Oryctolagus cuniculus: one gene and its partner. The protein of the gene in region 2 purifies or fractionates together with the protein of the main gene of each other region. This does not show direct contact. Links are inferred from orthologs where the notes say so. Each region holds a gene or a part of one and is shown on either strand. Other genes may lie near its edges. The genes, in order: SLC27A1 and PBXIP1.

Region 1 (9,804 bases), on a different chromosome or scaffold from region 2:
GGGGAGCCCAGGAGCCCGCGGGCACAGCCCGTGCAAAGGTCCTGGGGTGGGAGCCGGGAGGGCGTGGCTAAGGGAGGCGGGGCCTGGAGCCACTCGCTCATGCGGGACCTGCCTGCCCGGGCCCAGGGTGGCCCTGCCCCGGGCTCCGGCGGCCTGGGCGGACGCACAGCCTCCCCCGGCCTCAGTGTGCCATCTCAGGGTCCTGCCCCTGGCCCCGCCCCGGCCGCGCGCCACGCACCTGCCAGGTAGACGGAGACCCCGCAGCACAGGAGCCCGAGCGCTGCGTGTCGGAGGCCGCGGCAGTCGTACAGGAAGCCGTCGGACCTGGGCCGGGGAGGACCCGGATGTCAGCCGGGCATCCAGTCCCCTCTGAACCCCCAGCCTGCGCCTGCCGCAGGGCCTTTGCACTGCCACTCCCACCTCCAGCCGGGCCGTCCCGGCGCCCTGTGCCCTAGGTCTACTCTGCTTCTCCGTTCCCGGCGGCCCCAGGAGCTGAGGGCGGCCAGGGTCCAGCGAGACCCCCGCCCGGCCCCAGCTCAGCCCCCTGCACGCATACCGTGGCCCCTGGAGGGCGGCAGCTTGGTCTGGGCGGGGTCCACGCTAGAGCCCCTGACGCCCCTGAGGACGGGCCGGCAGCCCAGGCCAGGCGCTGGCCAGGATCAAGTTCAAGTCCGGTCTCGCCCCCTCCCGCTGGGAGAACCCGAGGCCGCGGCCCTGTGTCAGGTGCCAGGGCCAGCGGCCAGCGACACAGGGGCCCGGCGCCGGCAGGCAGGGCTCGCACCCTGCTGCGACTCCACCGACGTGCGGAGGGGCCCCAGCCTCGCCCCTGCGCCCCCCCCGCCCCGCCCCCTACCTGCGGGAGCCGGGCGTCCGGGCCAGCTCGGCGCCCAGGTGCCCGCAGAGCGCGGCCAGCAGCAGGCAGGCGAGGCCGAGCGCCAGGCCCAGCGCGGCCAGCGCCCCGGCCAGCGGCAGCAGCGCGCCCGCCGCGTCCTCGGGCAGCCCGCGGCCGGCGGCCGCCTCGGGGTCCGGCCCCCGCAGCTCGGCGCGCCCCGCCTGCAGCTGGAACAGCAGCTGCGCGCCCAGCGCCGCCAGCACGGCGGCCGGGATGCCCAGCAGGGTCATCGCGGCCAGCACCCGGCCGCCGTACGACCGGGCCATGGCCAGGGATGCCGTCCAGGGGTCCCGGGGTGGGGGGAGATGGGGGCGTCGGCGGGACCCCCAGAGGGCGAGGCTGCGGGGAGTTCTGCGGGCCCTGGGCGGGGTCGAGGGCTGCCGCGGGGTGGGGTAGCGGGTCCAGGGGTCGGGGGTCCGGGGAGCCGGCCTGAGCTCCCTGAAGCCTGGGGGAAGTCCGGTTTCTCCGGTGCCCGCGTAACAGCTCCGGTCGTCGGGGCTGGAGGGGGCGTGGCCCTAGCGGGGGCGTGGTCTTTGGAGGGGCGGTGTGAAGTCTGGGAGGGGCGTGGCCCTGGGGGAGGCGTGCTCTCCAGCCGGGCGGGAGTGAGGTCTGGGAGGGGCGTGACCTTCAGAGGGGCGGGGTTAAGCCTGGGCAGGGGCATGGCCGTTGGCGGGCGTGGTCTTTGGAGGGGCGTGGTTAATTCTGGGAGGGGCATGGCCGGGGCGGAGGCCTGATCTCAGCCAGGCAGAGGTGAGGTCTGGGAGGGGCGTGGCCTTCAGATGGGCGGGGTGAATCCTGGGAGGGGCGTGGCCCGGGCAGGGACATAATCTTCGGAAGGGTGTGTTGAAGCCTGGGTGGAGGCGTGGCCTTTCGCGGGCAGGGTGTGGCCTTGGGCGGGAGGGGCGGAGCCTGGAGTTTGGCCCCAGGACCCCCAGACCTCGCTAAACCTGTGTGGCTCTGAGCACCTGATGTTGACGAAGGGGAACAGAAGCTGAAGGAAACCGAATTTATTAGTAAACGATGTGTTGACTACTTCGAGGGACAGAGGCCCACGCGCGGATGCACCCCGCCCGCAGCTGGGGCCGAGCTACGGGGAAGCCGGGGTCCCCCCCCCCCGGGAACGGCTGGGCCGGGGCGGGGCTCGAACCCAGGGTGCGGGTCTCCGCGCGGGTGCCGCCCGCCTGCTCGCCGGCCGGCGTTGAAATACCACCCGCACGGCCACAGCAGGGACCCGTGGTCGCCGGGGAGCCGGGGCCTCCGCCGTTGCCCACCCCCCACGCCCCCACCCCTGGCGCTTTCAGTCCAGCCCCCAGGCCGCGCCCCCCGCGCCCCCCGCGCCCGCCGCGCCCTCCGCGCCCCGCCGCGGCCGCTCCACGCGGTACTTGCAGCGGCGCAGGGGCTCGGTGAGGCTCCGCGGCGCGGGGTCGTCCAGGTCCTCGGGCGGCAGGAAGCTGCGGTCCAGCACCTCGGACGCCTCCTGCCAGTTGGCGAAGCAGGCGGGGCCCAGGCGCTGGATCTCGGCGGCCGCGTCCCGCGTGAGCACGTCCCCACCCGGCTTCAGCACCACGACGGCCGGCAGGCGCTCCACGCAGAACTGGCGCCCCAGCTCCCTGTGGGGCGGGCGCGGCTCAGTGCAGGCCCCGGGGCGGAGTGCCCGCAGCCCGCTCCCTGCACCTTGCCGAGCGCCTGCTGTGTGCACTGCAGGTCCTGTTCTGGGACACCCAGGGCGGGCTCTCGCCACAGGGCCCTTGCACCTGCTCTGCACGGACAGCTGTGCTCAGGAGCCGGCGTGGGGCCCAGCGGTTCCGTGGGGGCATCCCGCGTGGTGAGAGGCCCGGCTCCCCGACAACGCAGACTGCAGGAGGCAGCAATGGCGGCCCAAGTGCTGGGGACCCTGCCACCCATGGGGGAGACCCGGATGGAGCTCCAGCCTCTGTGCTTAGGCTAGGGGGGGCGGCCAAAGTAGGGCGGGGCCACAACGGCCGGAGCTGAGCTGATCCAAAGCCAGGAGCCAGGAGCTCCATCCAGGTCTCCCACGCGGGTTCGGGGGCCCAACGACTTGGGCCATCTCCCACTGCTTTCCCAGACCACAGCAGGGAGCTGGACTGGAAGTGGAGCAGCCGGGACTCGAACCAGGGTCCCTATGGGATGCCGGCACCGCAGGCCACCGCTTCGGCCCTGATAAATATATCTTTTTAAAGATGATTCCTCTCCCAGGAGAGGGCCCCTCCTCCAGGCAGCCCGCCGGGCTCACCTCCGCCAGGCGTCCTCGAAGGGCAGGAAGAGCCACTTCTCGGGCATGTCCCTGAGGAACTGGCCCTGCTGCTCCTCCGTGCGGTCCTGGGACACGTACACCAGCGCCAGCTGCGCCGCCCGCAGCACGTAGAACTCGTCGGTGAGCCGCACGAAGAAGTCCTTGAGCACGGGCGCGAAGGCCTGGCAGCGCGGGCAGGCGGCCGCGCCGAAGAACAGCAGCAGCAGCCGGTTGTCCAGCCGGCGGCTGAGCTCCGCGTCCGTCTCCAGCTCGTCCTGCTCACTGTTGTTCCGGATCAGGACGCGGCCGGAGAACAGGGCGGCCATGGCCGGCTCCGGGTGTCCGGGGCTGGGGAAGCGGGGCCTTTAGGACGGCGGCTTAAGGTCCGCGCTAATCAGCCTAAGGCTGCAGGGCAGCCAAGGTCAAGGCGGGGAGAGGGCAGTGCGGGGGGGGGGGGGCGCTGCGCTACCTGCAGCGCCAGCTTCCCATAGGGGCGCGAGTTCGAGTCCCGGCTGCTCCACTTCCCATCCAGCTCTCCACTGTGGCCTAGGAAAGCAGTAGAAGATGGCCGAGTCCTTGGGCCCCTGCACCTGCGTGGGAGACCCGGATGGAGCTCCTGGCTCCTGGTCTTAGATTGGCCCAGCTCTGACCGTTGTGGCCATCTGGGGAGTGAACCAGTGGATGGAAGACCTCGCTCTCTCTCTCTCTTTCAAATCAATCAATAAATCTTTTTTTTTTTTTTTTAAAGGGTAACATCTCCAGCATCAGTCGCTCAGGTTTGAGTGAACAAATGAACCTCAGCTCCGTCCCGCACCTTGCCCTGTATAGCGCGCTGGTTGCGGCCGGGTGGCCTCTCTGCCCGGCCCGGCCGGCCCGGCGGATCCCGGCCAGCGGCCGGCAGGTGCCCGCCCTCGGGGTCTCCCTCCCCGCCCGCCGCCCCAGCAGGCCTGGGCCCGGGCCCGGGAGGGCGGGCGCTGAGCGCTGGCCGGGCCCTGGGCTCCGAGTGGCGCTGGAAGCCGGCCCTGGTCGCCGCCCAGCACAGCGCCGAGGTCGGCCAAGCAGGGCAGGAGACGAGCCAGCGGGCGGGCGGGACCGGGCGCGGCGCGGTGAGAGGGGTCCACAGAAACGCACGCCCCCGGAGACTCGCAGGAGCTCCAGGAGCCCCGGACAGGGCTGCGCCTGCGGGCAGCTGCAGGTCAGCCGGGCCTGGGCTCTGGGGCCGGGGCCGGGGGCTCCGGGCAGGTGCCGGTCAGCGGGGTGGGGGCCCGGCCGGTCCTGGGCTCTGGGGGCGGGGCCGGGGGCTCCGGGCAGGTGCATCTAGGACGCGCGGATCCCACGTCTGAGCCTGCGCAGGCCGCGCTCTGGCGCTTTCTGGGGCCCTGAGGGCTCGCGCTTCGGACTCCCCGCGGCCCCTCCGGGCGCACGCCCTGAACCGCAGGGCGGCGACCGGCTTAACCAGGCTCTAGAGGTGACCCGGGCCCTCCCGGCCCCCGGGCCGCGGCTCGCGGACGCCACCCGGAGCTCGGCCCGCCGCCCCTGGAGCCACGCCCCCGTCGGAGGAGGGCGGGGCGGGTAGGCGTTGCTATGGGGACAACGCCGGTCTCACAGCCCCGCCCGGCGGGCCGCTCTAGGCCGCGCGTCTCGTTGGCGTCGGCTCTCTGGCCCGCGGTTTCTCTATGGGCGCTGGAGCCAGACAGCGGGGAAGAGGGCGAAACAACCAGGCCGCACCCGGGCGCGAGGCTGCAGGGGGCCCGGCTCGGGGGCGGGGTCTAGCTCGGCGTGGGCGGAGTCTGGCTCCGGGAGGGCGGGGTCCCCGATGAGTGGCAGCTGCTGAGAGGTAGAGGCGGGGTCTAGCTCGGCGTGGGCGGGGCCGGCCCTGGGGGCGGAGCTCGGCCGCGGCCGGGCGGAGGTGGGCGGGGCCGGGGCCGCGTCCGCGACCCGAGCTCCTGCGCTTCCCAGGATGCGGGCCCCGGGTGCGGGCGCGGCCTCCGTGGCCTCCTGGGCGCTGCTCTGGCTGCTGGGGCTGCCGTGGACCTGGAGCGCGGCGGCGGCCCTCGGCGTCTACGTGGGCGGCGGCGGCTGGCGCTTCCTCCGGATCGTGTGCAAGACCGCGCGGCGCGACCTTTTGTGAGTGGGGCCCGGGCGGGGGCGGGGTCAGTGGGCGGGGCGGGGCCTGCACGGGTCCGGGCTGGGGGTCGGAGATCTGCACGGGGGCTCGGGGCTCGGAGGCCGAATGCGGGGGTGCCTGAGGTCGGGGGCGGGGTCTGCACGGGCATGGGGGGGCCCTGAGGAGAGGCCGCAGGGGACACCTTGGGGGCTCCTGGAGGGCGAGGGGGAGGTTCCAAGGTGATTGGGGGCCCAGGAGTTGCTTGGGAGACGAGGAGACTGAGAGGGGCCTCCCGGGGTCCCGGGTGGCGTTGACAGGCGTTGACATCACACCGAACCCCCGGGCTGGGGGACTCTCCGTAGGGGCCGTGGTGACTGAGGGGGGCCCAGTGATCTCTGGGCTCGTGGAGGGGCTGGTAGGGGTTGAGGACTTAAGGGTCTTTATCCAGGGTTTCTATCCCTACCGGGCCATTTGCCGGATTTTCAGTGGCCGGGCCGCTTTGTGAGGGTTTGGGGTTTGTCGGGGCCTGGGTGGGGGGCGCCACTCTGAGTTTGCAGCGATCCCGGGCCCCAGGCGTGGCTCAGGGGGGCGGCTTAGACGGCCTGGGGGGTGAAGGTGGAGTTGCTGGGGGCAGAGCTGAGGAACAGGGGCGCCCCTGGCTTGTCCCCGGCTCCTGGGAGGGGGGAGTGCGCCCATTTCAAGGGTGAGGAGACCAAGGCCACGCTGGCCAGCGGGTCTCAGCGCCTCCGCCGCTGCGGAGCAATTCACGGCTGTGAGCAACACCTGTGCCCATTTCACAGATGCGCAAACGGAGGCGCAGTGTGGCCGCGTCGCTTCTCCCAGGACACACAGAGGGAGGCTCTGAACATAGCCACATCTGTGGTCTGTGGTCAGCCTTCGTGTGGACCTGCCCCCCACTCCGCGCAGGGCCTCAGGGCTTGGGGACCTGTCTGTCCCGTGGAAGGCAGCGAGAGAGAGAGAGAGAGAGAGAGAGAGAGAGAGAGAGAGAGAGAGAGAGAGAAGGTCTTCCATCCACTGGTTCACTCCCCAATTGGCTGCAACGGCCGGAGGTGCGCCAGGAGCTCCATCCGAGTCTCCACGCAGGTGCAGGACCCCAGTACAGAGCCAGCGCCGGCCGCCTCCCAGGATGCGCATGCGCAGGGAGCTGGGCCGGAAGCAGAGCGGGGGACTCCAACCTGCTGCACCAACCACGTGCCCCTGCCCCCTCCCCGGTGTGGGCCCCGAGGCTGCGACCTGATCGGTGTTTGTGGCTCCCAGCCGGGACTGGGGGGGCCTCTGAGGGATTCGCACCGCTTCCCTGGGGAGGGCGGCTAACGGGGCCCCACTTTGCAGGTGGGTAAACCGAGGCCCGAGTGGGAGGGGCCACGGTGTTTGCGCTCTGGTGGGCGCCGTCTGAGCGCCGGAGGAGGGGCCGCGTTTGGACCCCAGGTTCGGGAAAGATTCGAGCGCCGGCCCAGTTCTCCTAACCCGCCCTGCCCCGCCTGGCCCAGAGTCCGTGCTCGGTGACCGCTTCCTGCCCCGCAGTCGGGAGGGGAGGGTCGAGGAGGGGCCCCGGGAAGGGCGCGGAGCCACACACTAGGCTCTTTGTGTGCAGGCCGGGGGTGGCCTGGGCCGCGGCCAGCGGGGGCCGCCCGGGCATGCAGCCGGGGCACAGCGGCGGGTGCAGGGCCTGCCCCGGGGGCTGCTCTGGGGGCGAGAGCAGGAGGGGGGGCGAGGGTGTGGGGGACGAGGGCAGGACCGGGGTGGGCGAGGGTGTGGGGGACGAGGGCAGGACCCGGGCAGAGGGTGTCCCGGGGGGCCAGGGTGTCCCGGGAACCACTCCCCCCACTCCTGTCCCCTGTTCTGGACGCTGACACCCACCCGGGCTTCCTCCGGCCTGTCGCCCCCACCACCGCCCTCGCCGCCACCCTCTCGGGCCCCCTCCCGCGGTCCCTGGGGCCCCTGGGCTGAGTTTGCTCACAGGGATGAGTGGGGTACACAGTAGGCGCTCAGACGCGAGGAGCCGATCGCCCTCGGCCGGCCTGGCCCTGCTGGCTTTGGCACTTGGTTAGGGTCCGAGGCTCCATTCCTTCATCCGAGCAGCGCTCCCCGGTGGCGGTGCATGCATTGAGTGCCTGCTGTGTGCGCCGCTGGCTGGCGTCTGGGTGAGGGGCGGCTCCCGCGCGGTTGCTCCTCGAGTTCCTTCCCCTCGCCGAGTCCCGCGTCCTCCGCTGACCGATAGGGGGCGCAAGGCACGGTATTCAGCAAGTGCTCAATAATTGCTGATCACGCTCACCTTGCCACTGCTTATTCCTCAGATGGATGAGCAGGATTTTTATTTTTTGAGATTGATTTATTTACTTGAAAGGCAGAGTTACAGAGAGGTCAGAGGCAGAGAGAGAGGGGGAGAGAGAGAGAGAGAGAGAGAGAGAGAGAGAGAGAAAGGTCTTCCATCCACTGGTTCACTCCCCAGATGGACGCAACGGCAGGAGCTGGGCCAATCCGAAGCCAGGAGCCAGGAGCTCCATCCGGGTCTCCCACGTGGGGGCGGGGACCCAAGCACTTGGGCCATCTTCCGCTGCTTTCCCAGGCCACAGCAGAGAGCTGGGTCAGAAGTGGAGCAGCCGGGACTCGAACCGGCGCCCCTATGCGATGCCGCGGCGACTTTACCCGCTGGGCCGCAGCACCTGAGCTTCCTAAGCACCAGGGTGAAGGCCGGCTGCCTGATTTACGTTTTCTGGAAAGTTCTCCCTCTGGGGGTGCGCAGGCGCCCATGAGCCGCAGGGCACGCACCCGCCGGGCCCCTTCCTTCCTGTTCCCCCATTGCTGGCTCTGGTGCCTCTGCAGAGCGGGGTGGCCCCCCGACCCCGCCCACCGCTGGAGGCCCCGCCCTCTCCACAGAGCAGGCTGGGGGGCGGGGCCAGGACTTCCTCTCCCCGCACCCCTGGTGGGTGGGGCCCTGGTCTGCCGCCGCCACCCCCAGGTTCCCGGCGTCACAGCCACGCGTCCCTGCCCTCCGGGGACAGGCGAGGAGACGGAGCACCAGTCGATTGCACCTGCGGTGGGGAGGCAGGAGGGGGCCAAGGCCTGCGGGGGGGGGGGGGTCGTGCCGATGCTGCAGAGCCCGTGCAAAGGCCCTGGGGTGGGAGCATGGCAGAAACATCAGGGTGGGTGTGGCTGGAGAGATGAGCGGGGAGGAGGAGGGGGAGGGTCTCGCTCTCGCTCCAGCGCTGCGGGGTCTCAGGGAGGCCAGGGACGCCCGGCTCGGGCCCCTTGGCAGACGCAGAGCGTGGGGACCCCGGCCCTGTCCCTGTGTGCAGGGGCTTCCCACGAGAGGCCGAAGAGAGACAGGGGCCCGCGTCCCACGTCACAGCGCCTGCCTCCAGCTCCCTGCGCACGCGCACCCTGGGAGCCGCGGTGAGGGCTCAAGGCTCTGGGCCCCCGCCGCCCACGGGGGAGACCCGGATGGAGCTCCCGCCGCCCCCCAACACCCTGTCTCCCCGGCTGAGCCCCGCGGGCCCTCCACCTCCCCTCCCCGCACCTGATTCCTGCCACACAAGGCGCGTCCCTCCCAGGCCGGAGCCCAGAGCCCCAGGCCCCAGAGTGCAATGGCCGCTTGCATGAATGAATGAAGGGATGAATGAATGAAGTTATGAATGGAGTGGCTGAGTGATGAATGATGCATGAATGAAGGTTTTTTCCCTTCGCCGGGACCGCAGGGTGCTGAGGCCAGGGCTGGGCAGGCCACAGGCGGGGGCTGCGGGAGCCGTGGGGGCGGCGTGGGTCAGGGCGGCGCCCGCTGCTGGTCAAAGACAAGCCCAGGGCGGGGCCGGGCTGAAGCCGGGGGGCCGGGGGCTCCATCCGGGTCTCCCGCGGGGGTGCAGGGGCCTGAGCACCTGGGCCGTCCCTTGCCGCTTCCCAGGCGCATGCGCAGCTGGCATCGCGGGCGGTGGCTCAGCTCCCCGCCCATCTGGCACGGGCCTGGCCCGGCCCCCACCCCCACAGCTGCTGCAGGCATTTGGGGGGTGGTCCCGCAGCCGGGAGCCCTGTCTGTCTCTGCCTCTTCATCACCGCGGTCAGAATCGCGGGTGGGAGGCTGAGGGGGCAGAGGGTGTGTGCTGGGCGCTGGGATGCCCCATGGTGCGGAGGGTCCTGCAGAGGGCCGAGCCCGCCGGGACACACGGGGCTGCTGGGGGTCGCAGCCCTGGAACCCGCTGGCTGATTGGCCCCTGCTCTGCCTCCCCCCGGCAACCCAAGGGTTAACCATCAATCTGGCAGCGACCCCCTGGCTGCCCTGGGACTCCCCCCATAGGGAAGCTGGAGCTCTGGGGGTCCCGGGATGGCCAGGGCGCCCCTGACCCGCCCCCTCTGCGTCCCTCGCAGTGGCCTCTCCGTGCTGATCCGCGTGCGCCTGGAGCTGCGACGCCACCAGCGCGCCGGCCACACGGTGCCGCTCATCTTCCAGGCCGTGGCGCGGCGGCAGCCCGAGCGCCTGGCGCTGGTGGACGCGGGCAGCGGCGCGCGCTGGACCTTCGAGCAGCTGGACGCCTA
Region 2 (9,804 bases):
AGTACTATAATGACTTCCCGGGGAAGGAACCCCCTTTGGGGGGCGTGGTGGACATGAGGCTCCGGGAAGGAGCTGCCCCAGGGACTGTTCGACCTGCTCCACCCAGTGCGCAGACCCCCAGCCACTTGGGAGCTACCCTGGTAAGTTGCTAGGATGGAGGTGGGCTGGGCCCAGGCTGGTTAGGACTGCTGGTCTCACCTTCCTTTATCCCTGCAGCCCGTAGGGCAGCCTGTGGGAGGAGACCCGGAAGTCCGCAAACAGATGCCACCTCAACCACCTTGCCCGGGTATGAAGGGAGGCAGAGAGAGAGGGAGCGAGTGAGCTGAGGAGGGAAGAGCCGGGGGTGCAGCAGGCAGGGCCAGGAGCACCACGGAGCATCCTTTTCCGCAGCAGGCAGAGAGCTCTTTGATGATCCCTCCTACGTCAACGTCCAAAACCTAGACAAGGCCCGGCAGGCAGGGGGAGGGGCTGGGCCCCCCAACGCGACCGCCAATGGCAGCGCACCCCGGGACCTCTTTGACATGAGTGAGTACTCCTCTCTCCTTTCTGCTTCGTCCCCGCCTTCCCACCTGGTTCCGTCTCTTCTGCCTTTCTGCTCTTTCATTCCTGGCCTCCCTTCCCTGAAGGTCTCCGTCCCGGGAGTGTGTTGTGCCAGCTGCTGCTCCTTGCTCTCTCTGTAACCCCCCAGAGCCCTTTGAAGATGCGCTTCGGGTACCTGCACCTCCCCAGTCGGTGTCCATGGCTGAGCAGCTCCAAAGGGAGCCCTGGTTCCATGGGAAGCTGAGCCGGCGGGAGGCTGAGGCGCTGCTGCAGCTCAACGGGGACTTCCTGGTGCGGGAGAGCACGACCACACCTGGCCAGTACGTGCTCACCGGCCTGCAGAGCGGGCAGCCCAAGCACCTGCTCCTGGTGGACCCCGAGGGTGTGGTGAGTGACAGAGGTGTGGACGTGGGTGGTCGGAAGTACCCTCTGGTGCAGTCGCAGCTGTCGGCCCCGCCCTCCAGCGCCCTCAGCGCTGTGCCTGAGCTGTGTTCATTACAGCCCTGGCCGGTACTCCAATCCCCAAACCTTAAGCCCCTCAGAGCCAGACGGTGCTCGTCTATTCTGTGTCCCTCCTTTGACAGATGAGGAAACCCCCGGGGAGAGGTTGTGATAGCCAGTGGTGAGGAGCCACACACGTGCAGGAGGAGCCGGGGGCCTCCCCAGGTCCCCAGACCAGTGTCCTTTCTCTTAACACTCAGTGTCTCACTGCTCCTCAAAACTTCCATTTCTCTTCTGTACAATTTCAGCCTCCTTCCCACTTTTTTTTTTTTTTTTTTTTTTTTGCACAGTGAGATACGCCAACCCTGTCCAAATCAAGAAAGGCTTCATGCTTTCTGGACTGAGGTCCCCTTGCCTTTCTGTAGTTCCTTCACCTGCCCACTCTCACAGCTGTCTCCAGCTTCTCTTTCCAGGGAAGCCTCAACCAGCCATCACCCCCCACCCCCAGCCCCACCCCCGTCTTTTTCTCTTTGCTCAGCCTTCTCGACTGTTTCATTTTCTTCAAGACTTAAGGGCCGCCGAGGTCTTGGCTCCTCACCTGAATTGACCCCCCTTCCTTCTCACTTTCCCAGGTTCGGACAAAGGATCACCGCTTTGAGAGTGTCAGCCACCTCATCAGCTACCACATGGACAATCACTTGCCCATCATCTCTGCGGGCAGCGAACTGTGTCTCCAGCAACCTGTGGAGCGGAAACTGTGATCCGTCCCCGCGTCCCCGAGCTCTCACAGAAGACGCCCCTGCCTCCCCTTCCACCCTGTTCCCTGCTCTCAGGACTTCACTCAACGAGTGTTCTGTGGGCTTGGCCTTGGGTCAGAGCTGGGAGGAGGGTGGACACTGGGTTTTGCATTCAGCTGAGGGAGAGGGTTTGAGTCAGGAGCCTGGGGTAGAATCCTGCTTCTCCCCAAACCTCACCAAAGTATTAATGTACAGAGTGGCCCCCCCATACCTGTGCCAACCTGATGCCCCCTTCCCCAGGAAGGTGGGCACTCGAGATGGAAACGTCCCCTGGTGATAGGCCCAGTGGAGCAGTCACCCTTCTGGGGAAAGGGGAACAAATCACACCTCGGGTCTACCCCTGGGCTTCAGGGAGTCACAGACCACTCTCAGCCTTCCCCCCAGCGTTTAACTTTGTGCCTTTGACCATCTCCTAGGTCTGACGATATTTAATGCAAAGAAGTTTTCGGGCCCCTGAGTTAAGGACAGGGGTGCTGACGCCGTCTTGGCTCCCAGGACCCTGTCCTCCTTGCTCAGCAGCCTCTCCAGTTTGGGTTGGGAGAACAGAAGCAGTAGTGGCAGCTGTCCCCTCTCCCTGGGGAGGTGCAACCCTTAGAGATTGCCCCAGAGCCCCCCTCCCGGCCAGGGGGGAGATGGACCCCCTCCCTTGCTCAGTGCCTCCTGGCCGGGACCCCTCTCCCCAAGGGGTCTGTATATACATTTCATACGCCCCGCCCCTCCCATGTTGCATGCATGTTATACTCTACAGCCAAAGTGTAGCTCTTCCTCCTGTATCCCGGCTCTGCCTCTCCCTTCCCAGGGTGTGAACTGGAGCCTCCTGTACAGTTCACTCTCCCAGGAGGGTTCTGTGGAGGCGGGAACAAGGGCACTGAGACTCGAAAGCATTAGACAATCCCAAATACCATCTGTCGATTTGGAACCGCGCTCATTTTTACTTTGTATGCACATATTTTATGGCTGTAGGTTTACTTTCCTAATTTTGTTCTCCATGGCTTGTTCTTGAACACAAAATGATGATGATCAACTACATCCACACATCACCTCTTTGACTTTTCCAAGCCCTCTCACCACTATTGGCATTTTCCTCACCGGGCCTGCAAAGGAACTCGGACTGGCAGCATTATTATTATTTTTACAAAAGAGACCAGAGGCAGAAACGGATTTTGAGCCAGGACTAGAACTTGGACCTCTTACCGCAGGCTGGGAGGCAGGCGTTTGGCTGGCTGTGTCGATTTCACGAAGGGGGAACTTAAAGCCCACAGGTCCCCCAGTACCTTCTACACGCGGGGCCCTGTGCTAGGCCCACTGCAGCCACAACCACAGAAGAGGCCAGTCCTGCTCTTTAGGCCTGTGGGGAAGGGAAAGCTGACAATTTTAATCCTAGCCACCACCTCCTTTCGTGTGTTTGGATGTTTTCACGGGTCTCACTTATACCAAAGGGAAATAATCTTCATTAAAATCCGTATTTCTTCTACTTCGCCTTCTTAGCCACTCTTGCAAGCCCATTGTTCGCGCGGAGCCTCCGCGGCAGGAGGGGAGGCTCCAGGTCGCCGCTGGCCCCACCTGGCCTCACTTGGGGCCCGGCGCCGCCCGCTGGGCCCTGGGCGCCGGCCGACTTAGTGCCCGGTGGGCGTGGAGACCGATTGTCCCCGGGGGATGCGGCTGCGGAGGGGCCTGGTGCAGGCGGGGCGGGGCGGGGCAGGGTCCGAGGCCAGCCGGCGGCTGCCGGTGCCTCCTGGGCACGCGCCCCTCGGCCCGCAATGGTACGGTCCGGTCGCAGGGGCTGGCGGGCGGCGTCCCGCGGTGAGCTGGGGCCGGCCGCTCCCTAGAGGGCGACGGCTGTCTCCACTAGGGCCGCCCCGTGGTCCTCTCTCCCCTCTTCCTGCGTTTTGAGGCGCCGAGTCTCCCAGTCCTTGCTTCCCCTCCCCGCCGCGCTCGGTGGTGGCGGCCGAGCGGAGTTCCGGTTCCGGTCGCTGCTGCTGCCGCGGGCGGGCGGCGAGTCTGGAGCGGGCTCGCAGTTCGTGCTCCAGCTCGGCGCCTCCCCCTCGCCGCACCTTGGGGCTGCAGCAGCTCGGGGGCCTGTGCTGCCCCGACTCCCCTTCCGGGGGATGGTGCAGCCTGAGGGCGCCTCCATCCCCCGCCGCCGCTGATCCCCGGCCCCCACTCCATGGCCGCCTCGGCGCCGCCCCCACCGGACAAGCTGGAGGGAGGTGGCGGCCCCGCACCGCCCCCTGCGCCGCCCAGCACCGGGAGGAAGCAGGGCAAGGCCGGTGAGAGTGCTGAGACGGGGCGGGGGCTGGAGAGACCTGGGACTTGGGAACCTTGGAGGGGAGGGTGGGGTTGGTCCCAAAGGCTGAGAGCGGGGAGGGCTTGAAGGGACGCTCAGGTGAAAAGGATGGGTCGGTGTAGCGCTCCGGGGTTGGGGGCAGGTGTGACAGATTGAGGACTTTCAAGGGTGTGGAGCCACGTGGAATCCAGTCAGGTGGAGTCTGATAGTGTCAACAGATAGGGTGTCTGCTTTCGAGAAAGGCATAGCTGACAGTAGGGCCCCACTCAGGACACGTTTTTCATATGACACTCCTTTGTTAGTATTCGCGAAATAAATGTGTGTTGAAGTTGACCGAGTTCTTGGAGCAGGGCTGGGAGGAGGAGGTTGGAGAAACTCGTCTGCCTTTTGCTGCTCTTCCAGGTCTGCAAATGAAGAGCCCAGAAAAGAAACGCAGGAAGTCCAATACTCAGGTGAATGTTGGCTGGTGGTGGGCGTGATTGCCAGGAGCCCCTGGCGCTGTCCGCTCTGTATTGCGTCAGGTGCAGGGAGAAGGAAGGCGGTGGGTTCTGTTTCTGGTCCTCGCCCTCAACTTCCTAACAAACGTAGGGGATAATCCTTCCCCACGAGAGCCCCTTACCCAAGAGCTGGTCGGGCAGGGTTGCAGCCTTCTTTTTCCCCCATTTTTCCTGTCCTGGCTCCTTCAAGACAGCGTAGCAGGTAACCACCTAGCGAACCTTTTCTAAGTGCCAGACGTTGTGCCGAGGGGCCTGAATGGTTTGGGGGAGCTGGGCACTGTCCTTGTATCACGGAGAGCTTTGGGGTCAGAGCTGGGACTTCAGCGTGGTCCTCCCTGTTTTTCAAAGGCGTTCCTGACTGCGCTGTTCTGCCCTGCTCCCTCTGTTTCTATGTTGCATTCTGAGGTCCGTCTTGGTCTTGGCACTGGCTGGCCGGTGTCTGCCTCCAGAACGCTGCGGCGTCTGTGGTGTTCTGCCCACGTGTGTTTGGCTCCGTGTCAGGCCCCTGTGACCCTCTTTCCCTCATCTGTTCCTCCCTAGGGCCCTGCATACTCACATCTGACGGAGTTTGCGCCACCCCCAACTCCCATGGTGGATCACCTGGTTGCATCCAACCCTTTTGAGGATGACTTCGGGGCCCCTAAGGTGGGGGCCACAGCCCCTCCGTTCCTTGGCAGTCCTGTGCCCTTTGGAGGCTTCCGCGTACAGGGGGCCATGGCGGGCCAGGTACCCCCAGGCTACGGCACTGGAGGTGGAGGGGGTCCCCAGCCACTTCGGCGACAGCCTCCCCCTTTCCCTCCCAACCCTATGGGCCCTGCTTTCAACATGCCCCCCCAGGGCCCTGGTTACCCACCACCAGGCAACATGAACTTTCCCAGCCAACCCTTCAGCCAGCCTCTGGGTCAAAACTTCAGCCCTCCTGGTGGGCAGATGATGCCAGGCCCCGTGGGGGGATTTGGCCCCATGATCTCGCCCACCATGGGACAGCCTCCCAGAGGGGAGCTGGGTCCTCCTTCCCTCCCGCAACGCTTTGCCCAGCCAGGGGCGCCTTTTGGCCCTTCTCCGCTCCAGAGACCAGGTCAGGGACTCCCTAGCCTGCCCCCCAACACAAGTCCCTTCCCTGGCCCGGACCCTGGTTTTCCTGGATCTGGTGGTGAGGACGGGGGGAAGCCCTTGAATCCACCTGCTCCCACTGCTTTTCCCCAGGAGCCCCACTCGGGCTCCCCTGCTGCTGCTGTCAACGGGAATCAGCCCAGCTTCCCACCAAACAGCAGCGGCCGGGGTGGGGGTACTCCAGATGCTAACAGCCTGGCACCCCCTGGCAAGGCAGGTGGGGGCTCAGGGCCCCAGCCTGCCCCAGGCCTGGTATACCCGTGTGGTGCCTGTCGGAGCGAGGTGAACGACGACCAAGATGCCATTCTGTGTGAGGCGTCCTGCCAGAAGTGGTTCCACCGCGAGTGCACGGGCATGACTGAGAGCGCCTACGGGCTGCTGACCACTGAGGCCTCTGCCGTCTGGGCCTGCGATCTCTGCCTCAAGACCAAGGAGATCCAGTCTGTCTACATCCGCGAGGGCATGGGGCAGCTGGTGGCTGCTAACGATGGGTGACTGCCCGGTGGTCTGGGGAAGTGCACACGTCCCTCCCTGCTCTTCCAGGGTGATTGTTTCGTGTCTGGCTCTTGGTCCTTGTTTCCGCTGGTTTCCCATCCCCGTGGAGCAGAAGCAGTGGCTCCTGGGAGCAGAAAAGGAACTGAGGTGGGCAGGCGGAAGAGCCGGCGCGTGTCTCTGGAAACTCACGTGCGTTGAGATCTGTTTGCAGAGATCCAGGAAACCAAAGTCCTGCTGAGCAGAGCTGTGTGTTTTGGTGGCCATCTGGAAGTCTAGGAGCGTGGCTGCAAGAAAAGAAGTGGACGGAGGCAGACCCCAAGGACCGGGGTGTCCGCCGGCGGAGACGGATGCCCTGGACACCCCTCTCTAGGCCCGCAGCTCCAGCCTTAGCTTTTGGGGTCAGAGTGTTTGAGAGGTCTGGCCCCATCCCTGCAGTAGCCTTTTTGTGGGCTCTGGGAGACAGCTTTGAGGAATACGTGGAGAGTTCTCCCTCACCTTCCTCTCCCCTCCCCTCCCCTCCCCTCCCCTCCCCTCCCCTCCCCTCCCCTCCCCTCCCCTTCCCTTCCCCTCACCCCAAGACCCACCCAACTCCTCCCCCTTCAGAGAACCAAATAGCTGGATGGAGTAGGAGGGCTCCAGGCTGTGGCTGTCTTTGGTGACTCTTTGGGCTTCGAGACAGTGGGCCGGAGAGGCTGTCGGGAACATTTTCCTGATACCAAAGTCACTGGGCCTTTCTCAGCCTCTCGTGCTTTTCTCCTAATGGCCATATTTTTTGCCAAAAACGAGGTTCCGTGGTCTGAGCGACCAGAACATTAGACGTCTAGGCTGTCCTGAAGTCTGCACTCGGGTGGCTCGCCCCACCCCCCACCTTGTCCATCTGTTGCACATTATACTCAGCGCTGATCTGAAACTTTGCCCCGCGCTTGCTTCCCTGCCTCCCTGGCTTGATTGGAGGAGGGCTGGAGAAGGCAGAGCCCTTATACCTCATTTTCCCTCCTGATAAAGGATCCAAGAGAGGCCCTGTCATGGCCCTGTGGGTAGGGGGAGGCCCTGGGATCCTCACTGCCATGGTACTAAAAGGTAGAAGAGCCTGGATTGTTTTGCTGCTTTTTCCTTGCTGTTCTTTCTTACCATCTTGGGCCCTCTCAGCCAGCGCTGCACTGGTGTTTTTTTTTTTTTTTTTTTTTTTTTTTTTTTTTTTTTTTGTGAGCACTGCCAGTCAGAGGTGGGACTTGGGCCTATTCAGGAGCCCCTGACAGCTGCCCTTTCTTCCTTGCAGCTGGTACACACATTCCTCAAAGGGGCGGGGGAGGCAGGCACAGGGTGTGGTGGCAAAGGCCTGCCCTCTGTGGTGTGTGCCCCCCACCCCTGGCACTGCCCTGATGGAACCAGCAGACTGAGGCTGTGAGAAAGAAGAGGGGGCTCCGGGCTGCTCTGGCATTGTGGCACTCACCCCCCACCCTTCTGCACTGAGACAGCATCGGTGGCACCTCCCTACCACTCAGCTTGGTATTGTGTTTGTGGTTCTGTCTGCCCCTCTTTGTTGCTACCCATGACGCCTACATGTTTTGTAAGTGGCTCCTGGGAGAGCTGTCTTTCATCTGCCCTCTCCACTGCTTTTTCGAAGTGGGGTGGCAGAGGTGTGGTTGTGTGTGGGGGGGTCTTTTGTATGGTTGGATTAATAAAATGACTTGAAAAGCCAGACCAGGACTCCTTGCTATTGATGTGGAAAAAGGCTGGTGGCACCACTGTCACAGCCAGGAGGGAAGGGGCGCTTGGGAGGTGAGGATAAGTATTTGGCACAGGGCCCCTGGAGGCGGGAGTGGGAAAAAGCCTCAGGCCCCTGGCTGACCCTGGTAGAAGCGGTAGAAGGGGCTGAGCCGAGGAGGCCAGTGTTCTCCCCTCCCTCGTGTCCTGAGAAGCGAGTTTCCTTTCTGAGCACATTCCTGGGCCAGGCCTGGAGCCAGGCTGCAGACTTGGCTCCAAGGCTTCTGATTGTGCTGGGGGGTCCAGTGTAGCTCCGAGGGTGAGGGGAGGGGCCGACCCAGTGTAGCAAATTTCACTTCAGGATGCTTGTCAGCGTCCCTTCCCCGCCCCGCCCCCCTCTTAAAAGTAGCGGTGACATCTTCAAATAGTCTGCGTGTGGAGCCGGTGGGGAGCAGGGCGGGAGCGCTATTTCTAAACCCGCAGTTTGCCACCCATTGCTCTCCCCTCCCCCGCCCTACAGCTGTCTCCGTCTATCCCGGGGCAAGTTGGCCCCTTGTCCTCGTCCTCTTGGAGGACACCACCCTTCTTTGCCTTTCTCTGTTTGGGTCTTCCCTCTGGAAACTTCAGAGGCTGGGAAAAGGAAAGAGAGGTCACCCAAATCTCACTTTGCTGGGTCTCGAGTCGCCCACCCAGAGGTAAGCTCAGGTTTACCGAAGGTGTGGGTCTACCCCGCCCCCTGGCTCTCAACTCTGACTTTCATTGGCTGAAAGTTTCCGCCCCTTTAGGGAAGTCAACTTCCCACTGGTCAGTCCCTGGTCATGTGACTCCCCCTGGTTCCCCGGGCTGGAAACCTGGGGAGGCAGCTATAAGTTAGGCTGACGACTGACTGAAGCGAGAGGGGGTCAGGTAATGCAGTGGCTGGGGAGGGCCCCAGGATGCCTGTGGGAGGGGGATAGAGGAAGGGGAGGGCAGAAGTCTAGAAGCAGTGGGCTAGGGCAGGGAGCCATGGAACTGCTCGTCAGAGGACGCAGGGCGGGGGGGAAGGGAGGGGGCAGACATTTCTGAAGCAGGAACTTGCCTTGGGTCCCCCGGTTGTTTTGCCGTAAGTCCTTTGCTTCAGAGGTTTGGGGCCACGACCTTTACAGGGGTTGTAGTTAGCTGGAGGTGAGACTTCCTAGCTTGGTACGGAGTGGGAGAGCTCCCTCTTTGGCTGTTTTTTAGAAATAGCAGAAGTCTCTGACAGTTCTTACAGGATGTTTTCGTTGAATCCTGCCAGGATGGAAAGAAAGGGGATCGTGGGAACGGGGGTGGAAGTGGGAGTAGAAAAAGACCTGAAAACACAGCAGGGAAGGGTGGCGATCGAGCGCAGAAGGAACTTCCTAATAAGGCAGTGAGATGCTCGCGTGGGAGAACAGGGATATCTTTTGGAATCTTGGATGAACCCAGCCAGGAGAGATCAGGGCTTGGGACCCTGGGTGCAGGGGTTCCAGACTGTCTCCTGTTTGGGTCCCCGAAGTGTTTATCTTGTTGACCCAAATACCGTTGCTTGTTTCCATGGAGACGGTGGGTCTGACATCACCCTGGTTGCCATGGTGCTGGGTTCTAGAGGACCTGAGCAGGCTGTGCAAAGCCAGGGATAAACAGGGACTTCAGCCCAAGCTGCTGCCACTTCCTTCCTGACACCACCTGTTAACTGGGGGTGGGGAGAGGATGACAGAACAGAACGGCAGGGAGGGGCTGAGCGCAGAACGCTGTCAGCGACGGCTTTACGGATGCCTGGAGAAGTGGGCAGGGTGTCCTCCTGGATTCGGTTGGGGGGAGTCACTGCCGCCCTTCCTTTTCTGTGTGGATGAGTGTGTGTGTCTGGGAGCATGAGCATTGGGGCAGACCCCGCGAGGTGTCTTTCACCTATTCTGGGCTTGGATCT

What was found.
Region 1: the proteins of PBXIP1 (region 2) and SLC27A1 purify together in Homo sapiens (co-immunoprecipitation; 3 studies listed by BioGRID and IntAct, with this or other methods). This does not show direct contact. The link is inferred for Oryctolagus cuniculus from reciprocal best matches to the Homo sapiens genes PBXIP1 and SLC27A1.

What each region holds. Positions count from the first base shown.
Region 1 is NC_091447.1:65,338,955-65,348,758, forward strand, and holds the start of SLC27A1 (long-chain fatty acid transport protein 1), read left to right. Parts: upstream 1-4,208; 5' UTR 4,209-4,341; intron 4,342-5,105; 5' UTR 5,106-5,106; coding exon 5,107-5,273; intron 5,274-9,636; coding exon 9,637-9,804. Other genes in the region: TMEM221 (transmembrane protein 221), read right to left, coding at 239-324, 854-1,158; NXNL1 (nucleoredoxin-like protein 1), read right to left, coding at 2,190-2,502, 3,147-3,494, 3,616-3,674. UniProt on the Homo sapiens protein: Mediates the import of long-chain fatty acids (LCFA) into the cell by facilitating their transport at the plasma membrane.
Region 2 is NC_091438.1:43,544,241-43,554,044, forward strand, and holds the start of PBXIP1 (pre-B-cell leukemia transcription factor-interacting protein 1), read left to right. Parts: upstream 1-3,487; 5' UTR 3,488-3,945; coding exon 3,946-4,048; intron 4,049-4,467; coding exon 4,468-4,517; intron 4,518-5,102; coding exon 5,103-5,207; intron 5,208-8,666; exon of another isoform or gene 8,667-8,783; intron 8,784-8,933; exon of another isoform or gene 8,934-8,979; intron 8,980-9,543; exon of another isoform or gene 9,544-9,649; coding exon of another isoform or gene 9,650-9,661; intron 9,662-9,804. Other genes in the region: SHC1 (SHC-transforming protein 1), read left to right, coding at 1-140, 217-286, 391-525, 689-927, 1,614-1,742. UniProt on the Homo sapiens protein: Regulator of pre-B-cell leukemia transcription factors (BPXs) function. Inhibits the binding of PBX1-HOX complex to DNA and blocks the transcriptional activity of E2A-PBX1.